Linked DNA regions of Canis lupus familiaris. The protein of the gene in region 2 purifies or fractionates together with the protein of the main gene of each other region. This does not show direct contact. Links are inferred from orthologs where the notes say so. Each region holds a gene or a part of one and is shown on either strand. Other genes may lie near its edges.

Region 1 (3,649 bases), on a different chromosome or scaffold from region 2:
CCACTGAAAACTCACGATGCAGCTGTACTCCTCGTCATCCATTTCCTTCACCTTCAGGCAGTAGGACTGTATGGGACGGCGAGGTCACGGTGTCAGAGGGGCTCCACCTCCTGGATGCCCACCCTGATGCCACACTTCCACCCCACATAGTACCCCGCAGCCATGCCAGGCCTCCTGGGCCCTGCATGCCCTCAACTAGGATAGGCTGACACTTGCCTCTCATGTGGGAGGGTGGCAAGGGCCTAAGAAACAGCCCAGCATTTCCCAAACTCAAGTTAGGAGAGATGGTCTGGGGAAAAAGGGATTCCATGGTCAAAAGAGCATGGGAAGGTCGTTGAGGATTTATGGTGCACACAGGGATGCCAAAGGCTTTGGGAAGTCCTACAGCAAAGGAGCCTCAGCTTGCTTGGTGGAGCATCTTCCCTCAACATCTTTGACCATCAGAATTTTTACTTAAACATAAAACTCAATAATGTCCAGGAGACCCTGGTGGCTCAGTCCGTTGGGTGTCTGACTCTTGATTTCAGCTCAGGTCATGATCTCAGGTTCATGAGCTCAGTCCCGCATCAGGCTCCACACTCAGCGTGGAGTCTACTTGAGATTCTCTCCCTCAGCCCCTCTTCCTACTTACATACTCTCTAAATAAATACATAAAATCTTAAAAAACAAAACAAAAACCCAACTTGATCATGTCCCTTGGCACCCACTTTATAACCCACTATAAAAGTGACCAAATAATCTCAAGGGGTCAGAGTGGCCCAGAGTAAGCACTCTGCCTACCCTGGGCACCCAAAGGCTCCCTGAGTGGGCAGGGTCTGGGCTGCTGTCCAATTCCCAGTTCCTCCCAGGTCCCTGGGCTCATGTCCTCAATCAGACATGACAAAGGTTCTGGTCCCTTCCTGCCTACCATCCTGTGGCTAATCTCTAGGTGAGTTCTCTCTCTAGCATGCCAGATTCATCCCTCCTGGGGACCACTGACCCAGACTCACCCCGACTCACCCCTCCCTGAGGGCTGGGGACCACTCACCAGACTCATCCCTCCCCGGGGGCTGGGGACCACTCACCCAGACTCCCCCCGCCCCCAGGGCTGGGGACCACTCACCCAGACTCATCCGTCCCTGGGGGCTAGGGACCACTCACCCAGACTCATCCCTCCCTGGGGGCTGGGGACCACTCACCCAGACTCATCCATCCCCGGGGGCTAGGGACCACTCACCCAGATTCATCCCTCCCTACGGGCTGGGGACCACTCACTCAGACTCATCCCTCCCTGGGGGCTGGGGACCACTCACCCAGATTCATCCCTCCCTGGGGGCTGGGGACCACTCACCCAGATTCATCCGTCCCTAAGGGCTGGGAACCACTCACTCAGACTCATCCCTCCCTGGGGGCTGGGGACCACTCACCCAGATTCATCCATCCCTGAGGGCTGGGGACCACTCACTCAGACTCATCCCTCCCTGGGGGCTGAGGACCACTCACCCAGACTCATCCCTCCCCGGGGGCTGGGGACCACTCACCCAGATTCATCCCTCCCTGGGGGCTGGGGACCACTCACCCAGATTCATCCGTCCCTGAGGGCTGGGAACCACTTACTCAGACTCATCCCTCCCTAGGGGCTGGGGACCACTCACCCAGATTCATCCATCCCTGAGGGCTGGGGACCACTCACTCAGACTCATCCCTCCCTGGGGGCTGAGGACCACTCACCCAGACTCATCCCTCCCCGGGGGCTGGGGACCACTCACCCAGACTCACCCCTCCCTGAGGGCCGGGGACCACTCACCCAGACTCACCCCTCCCTGGGGGCTGGCGACCACTCACCAGGTACTCAAACTTCACATCCAGGTACTTCTTGATGGTGAGGCGAGTGTCTGGGATGGCTTTGTTGAGGTACGTATTCAGGTCTGTCAGCATCTGGAAGGGAAAGTGGAGGCAGACACCTAGTCCCAGGGGGCAGGGGCTGGGCTGGCTGGCGTGACAAAGAACGGCACTGACCCATCAATCCTTCTACTGGACTCAGGTGTCAAAGCCAAAGAGTGACAGACAAGTCGGTCCATTCAAGGGTGAGAAGACAGGCTGGGCCAAGGGTAAACTGTAACTAAGATGGAGCCAGGGGCAGAAGAAACCAGCCTGGGGGTCAATGCTGAGTGAGGCCAGGGAGGCAGAGTGACTTACCACAGTCAGTCGTGCAGGTGACCACGCTAGAACCTGCACTTACATTTTCTGACTCCAGTACAGGACACTTTCTGTATGCCACACTGTCCCCTCTCTACCCTCACATGCTGATGCACACATGCCCAACACCACCTACCGGCTTGATGGTTTTCAGCAGCCGGATGCCGAACTTCTCGATGCTGCGGTGGGCGTCAGCAAACTTCACAAAAGCCTCACTCGCGGCTGGCTGGGGCTCCCGCACCCCAATCACAGAGAACACGTCCCCAAAGGCTGCAGGATAAGTCTGCCCTGAAGACTGTCCCTACCTGACCCCTTCATGGAGAAGCCGGGGATTTGCTGGGGAGAAGTGGGGCAAGGGGCATAGCAGGCCGAAGGTGAAGGCCTGTATGAAGTCTCTGTCCCCAAGGAGGTGGGTCTACACCCAAGAGAGCCGGGTCTACACCCAAGAGAGCGGCCCTCATTCCCCAGAGTGATCAGACCACGGGGGAAGAAGAAGGCTGGGTCAAGGTTGGAGAGGCTGCTGTTGCCTGGCAGCAGAGCACAGGGATGTGGAGGCTGGGTCTAAGGCCAGCGCTGCCGGCAGGAGTGGTGTGCACATTTCCTCGGTCTGGGATCATTTTCCCCACTGCAAAGTGGGGTTAACTCTAGCTGCCTGGCCCAGCCGGCAGACTCGTAGAAAATGAGACCACAAATAAGGAAGCCTCTCCACGTTGTAAGGGGCAGAACGGGTTACACTGGACCCCACACACCAGCTGGTCCAGATGTTCCCTGCTGGCCCCACCTCCCAGCATCTGGACAAGGCCCGGCCCGAACCTGGCATGAGGTCAAATGCTGTGGTGTCTGCCTGAGCCTGGTGAGGAAGGGCCCTGGGAGGAGATTGGCCACACCCTAACTGCCTGGGGCAGCCCTGAGCTCAGAAGGGAGCGACGGTCTTCCCAGGGTCACACAGGTTTGGGGGCACCCTTACCCCGGTGTGTCTGTGACAGTTCGTAAAAGGCCCGGAGGAGGTTCTTGGTGTGTTCCGTCATTCCTGTAGGAGAGAGCCAACTGTAGGGGGATGGAGGCACATGGCAGGACCACAAGGGCCCCCAGGACATGGCCTCCACCCCCACCCAGAGGTCCTCACTGTTCCCACAGCCCCACTGGGGCCCAGGGTTGAGGGCTTAGCCGCGGCCCCAGTGCCACCCAAGAGGAGCCCCCATCAGACAAGAGACCCAGGACCTAGCAGGGGCAGAAGGTGACCAGGGCTTCCTAGGCGCTGCATCTTTGGGAGACAGATTCCAAGAGGCTCCCACCATGCTTAAATGTGCTATTATTTGAATTTTTATGGATATGTATTACTCTCATAATCAGGAAAAGTATGTCTTAAGAGGCTTTCTTCCGAAGAATTCCTAACGACCACAGTCCTAGAATCTCATAGGCCAGCAATCCTGCCCCTACTGCCACCATTTCCGAGCAGGGCTGTGAAGAT
Region 2 (3,620 bases):
GAGGGGGGGAATGGCAGGGGACAAAGGAACTTGTGGGACCGAGGCAGGCAGCCTGCTTTGGGCGGTAGGATGTCACACCATGCCCATGGCATGGGAAGGGGACAGTGCCATGAGCAGCTCACCCAGGAGCCCTGCAATTTCATAGGCCTTCTTCTGCTCAATAGTCTCATAGTTGAGGACTTCAAAGAAAATGTCCAGCACCAGGATGTTCTCCCTGCAAAGGGGTTGGGGGAGGAGACCTGGGTTCAAGTCACATCTCTGTCCCTCACTGACCAGGTGACCTTAGCAAGTTACCCTCTCTGAATCTGTCTCCATACCCATAAAATGAGATGTTGATGGGGGTATCCTCAGTGTAGAACTGTCATGAGGATTAAATGTGATGGCAAAAATGAAAAGATGCTCTGCACACTGGCAAGCATGGGGTTGTTCCCAGTTACAGCAGTGAGGATGAAGATACAGAATGATGCAAGGAGGAAAGAGAGGTGCTTCCATTGTTTGTTCCAGCTTGATCTGCCCCCCATGCCCATCCCAGACACTTTGGTTGCCTTCCCCTTTTCATCTCAATCTCCTCCTGTCTACCGGCCCCTCAAAGCCCACTCACACCCTCTATAGTCCCAGCCCAAGGGCCCTGCCCTGCACAGCCAGAGCCCTTACCCTATGTACTGCTCAGACTTGTTGAACTTCTTGGCCAGGTACTTGGCTGACGCTTTGCTGGGGATCTTGACCATGGACAGCTCCTTGCCATAGCGGGTCAGGTTGCAGGGCATTTCACACACACAGTACTCCTGGTCCTTCTCCACCAGGAAGTCTGTGCCCGACCAGGCGAGAGGCACCAGTTGAGTGGTGCCCTTCGGCCAGCTCCTTCCCAACACGAACATCCTGGCCCTGTCCGAAGGAAACCTAGGCCCCTTTCTCTTTTTCTGACCTGTTCTTACCCGAGCCCTGTGTCTGCCCTGTGCTGATCCTCACCCAGCCTCCCCATGGGTATTTCTTAGTCCTATATCTCATTTGGGCCCTCGAGGGTCAACTAGCTGAGGTGCTAATGAGAGAGGGTAAGGGCATGGGGGCCTCTAGAGATATTATTCCCAGCCTTGCTTAAGTCAGACACAAGAGATTCCAAGCGAAGCCTGATCCGGGAGTTGTTGGAAGCTTCTGGGAGCTTGGCCTAAAACCCCTATGCATGTGGCTCCTTCCTTCCCCCAGACTGCCCCAAGACAGGGGTGCTCACCCAGAGCAGGATCCGCACACTCCTTGTACTGTTCTGGAGTGCAGTATGGGGCATCCCCTAACAGAGGAGAAAAGACAGTGGTGCAGGATGGAGATTAAAGGGGTCTCGTGGTGATGATGGTGGTGGTACCAAGCGCCTAGAAACTGGAAGATGGGAGTGGGTGGGAAGGCAGGACTAGCCAGCCCCCAGTATGTCCTGAAGGTGACCACACACCACCCACCCCACAGTCCATCCCTCCTGGACCCCTTCCCACACATTTTTATGGGTTCAGGTGGGAATTGAGGTTAGAGGGACAAGAGCCATGTGAGTATGGAATGGGGCTAGAACTGGGGTGCAGAAAAGCCATTTAATCTTGCTTCCATGTTGGCAGAAGGTTGATGGGGAGCTGGTGAGGGGCAATGCAGGCTGAGGGGCTCCAAGATTGTGTTTGGAGCTTTGGGGCCTGACCTGGCATATGCACCATGCGGCAGTTACAGTTCTCCACCAGGTAGCGTGTCTCACAGTCGATGCGGCAGGCAGTAATGCTGTAGGAGTCGAAGAAATCCGAGTCCATGGTAACAGCTTTGCAGGTGCCCCAGGGCGGGGGCAGGTAGATGAGCTGCTGGGAGAGCCGGGGAGCTGGGGGGTGTGGGGACTTCTCCCCGAGTCACCTTGATGGACTTCTCTGACAAGACGCAGAACTCAGGAGCCTTGCTCCCTGTCCCTCCACAGACTCTGAGGGTCTCAGAGTTTGCAGAGCACTCCTGTTCATTCATGCTTCTCACTAGTCAGATCAGCCCCCAGGCCCTAGCTCACCTGTCCCTCCTGTATTGATTACCCACCACTCCGTCTCGACCCCTCAATACACACCCCCTGGGACCACCCTCCCGTGGCCCTCTCACCCGCTGCTCCTGGCAGGACACAAAGGTCTGGAACCCTGGGGCCACACCAAAGCCCAGCTGGTCGATGAAGGGAGGTTCATCCTGACTGTGGATCTGCACTTTGATGCCCGCTTCGAAGGACGTCTCATCTATGGGAATGAGGAGCAGGGGGTGTATTGGGAGGGCTTCTGACTCCCTAACCTTATTCAGAGCTGGGGCCATGCTGCCTTTCCTAGGGGTGAGCACAGTGCACACTGGGACTGGGGGAGGGGTTAGTCTCTGGGGGGTCCTAGCCCATTCCCAGCCTCCTTTTGGGTTCACTAGCTCCACACTGCCCTGATGAACACCACATCCTACATGCGTTTCTTACCGGGCTCTGGGTATGCATCTTGCGGTTTCAAATTCTTTCCCAGACACTCTCTATTTCTCCCCCTCCCTGTCTCCCTTCTTCCTATCTCTCTCAGCCCCAAGGTCCCTCGAGACCAGACTGACGGCAGGCAGCCCAAGAAGAGAGGGAGTTATTTATAGAGTGAGTGGCGGCCACTGATGGAAAGCGACGGCTGGTTACCTTGGAGAGTAACTGAGCCAGGAAGGGGGAGCCAGGGAACTGTGAGGGTGGCAGTCAGGTAGAGTCGGAGATGGAGATGGCAAGATGCTGGGAGGAAGGGAGGAGGGCCAAGTCCTGTCTCAGGTCCCACAATGGATCTCAGGAGTCCCCTGGTGGAGGCTGATGGCTAGGGCCATGGGAAGGGGCCCCTGAGAGAAGTGACATACCAGTCTCTCCCCATACAGGCAGGTACTCATCCTGCTGGATGTCCAGCATGATCTCCAGCCCATTGCCAGTCCCACCCTTCATGGTCTTCAGCCGTGGACGCCCATCTCGGCCCGAGTTGAATGTATAGCACTTTCCATATCGTGTGAAGACCTGGTGAGGGCAGAGTGGAGAGCCTGAGAGTCCTGCCAGCACCCTCTACCTACCAAGGGCTGTTCCCAGACCCCTCAGCTGCTGTAATCTCAACACACTTCTGGAACGATCCCTTCTGTGCAGCACTTTCTCCATTTGTCCTCCTTCCCACCCATTCTCTGCCTTGCTTTGCCCTGATGTGCGCCCTAGAAAGCTGATCCCTGTGGGGTGCACTGCCCGTGCTCCTTTGCCACTTGGACAGGCTTCGGGGTGGGTGTGGCCAATGGGAGCTTATCAGAGAGGGATCAGAGAGCAGAAGGAGGGGAGATCAGGGTTTTCATCCTTCCCCACCCCTCACGCCTCTGAGAATGCTCTGGCAGTAGTTTAGACCCATTGAGACTGCAGATCCCACCAGGAGGCCTCCCTGCAAAGTCCTGCCACTTCCCTGTGCCCCTCTAGCCTTTATGTGACAATTTTCCCACTATCACGAAGTGCCTCAGGCCCCTTCAGGCAGTTTCCTTTACTCTGCCCACAGCTCTATAAACAGTCCCTTTGTTCAAGTCTTTTCAATTAAACTATCTGAATGGCAGTCCTGGGAGGACCCTGACAAATATACCTCCATCACCAG

Evidence for each region. The genes of interacting proteins can lie anywhere in the genome.
Region 1: the proteins of ASIC1 (region 2) and PICK1 purify together in Homo sapiens (affinity purification with western blotting; 3 studies listed by BioGRID and IntAct, with this or other methods). This does not show direct contact. The link is inferred for Canis lupus familiaris from reciprocal best matches to the Homo sapiens genes ASIC1 and PICK1.

What each region holds. Positions count from the first base shown.
Region 1 is NC_049231.1:27,597,795-27,601,443, forward strand, and holds part of PICK1 (PRKCA-binding protein), read right to left. Parts: intron 3,209-3,649; coding exon 3,146-3,208; intron 2,449-3,145; coding exon 2,315-2,448; intron 1,918-2,314; coding exon 1,825-1,917; intron 67-1,824; coding exon 16-66; intron 1-15. UniProt on the Homo sapiens protein: Probable adapter protein that bind to and organize the subcellular localization of a variety of membrane proteins containing some PDZ recognition sequence.
Region 2 is NC_049248.1:42,007,822-42,011,441, reverse strand, and holds part of ASIC1 (acid-sensing ion channel 1), read right to left. Parts: intron 3,014-3,620; coding exon 2,863-3,013; intron 2,238-2,862; coding exon 2,110-2,237; intron 1,827-2,109; coding exon 1,676-1,826; intron 1,286-1,675; coding exon 1,229-1,285; intron 809-1,228; coding exon 655-808; intron 215-654; coding exon 123-214; intron 1-122. UniProt on the Homo sapiens protein: Forms voltage-independent, pH-gated trimeric sodium channels that act as postsynaptic excitatory receptors in the nervous system, playing a crucial role in regulating synaptic plasticity, learning, and memory.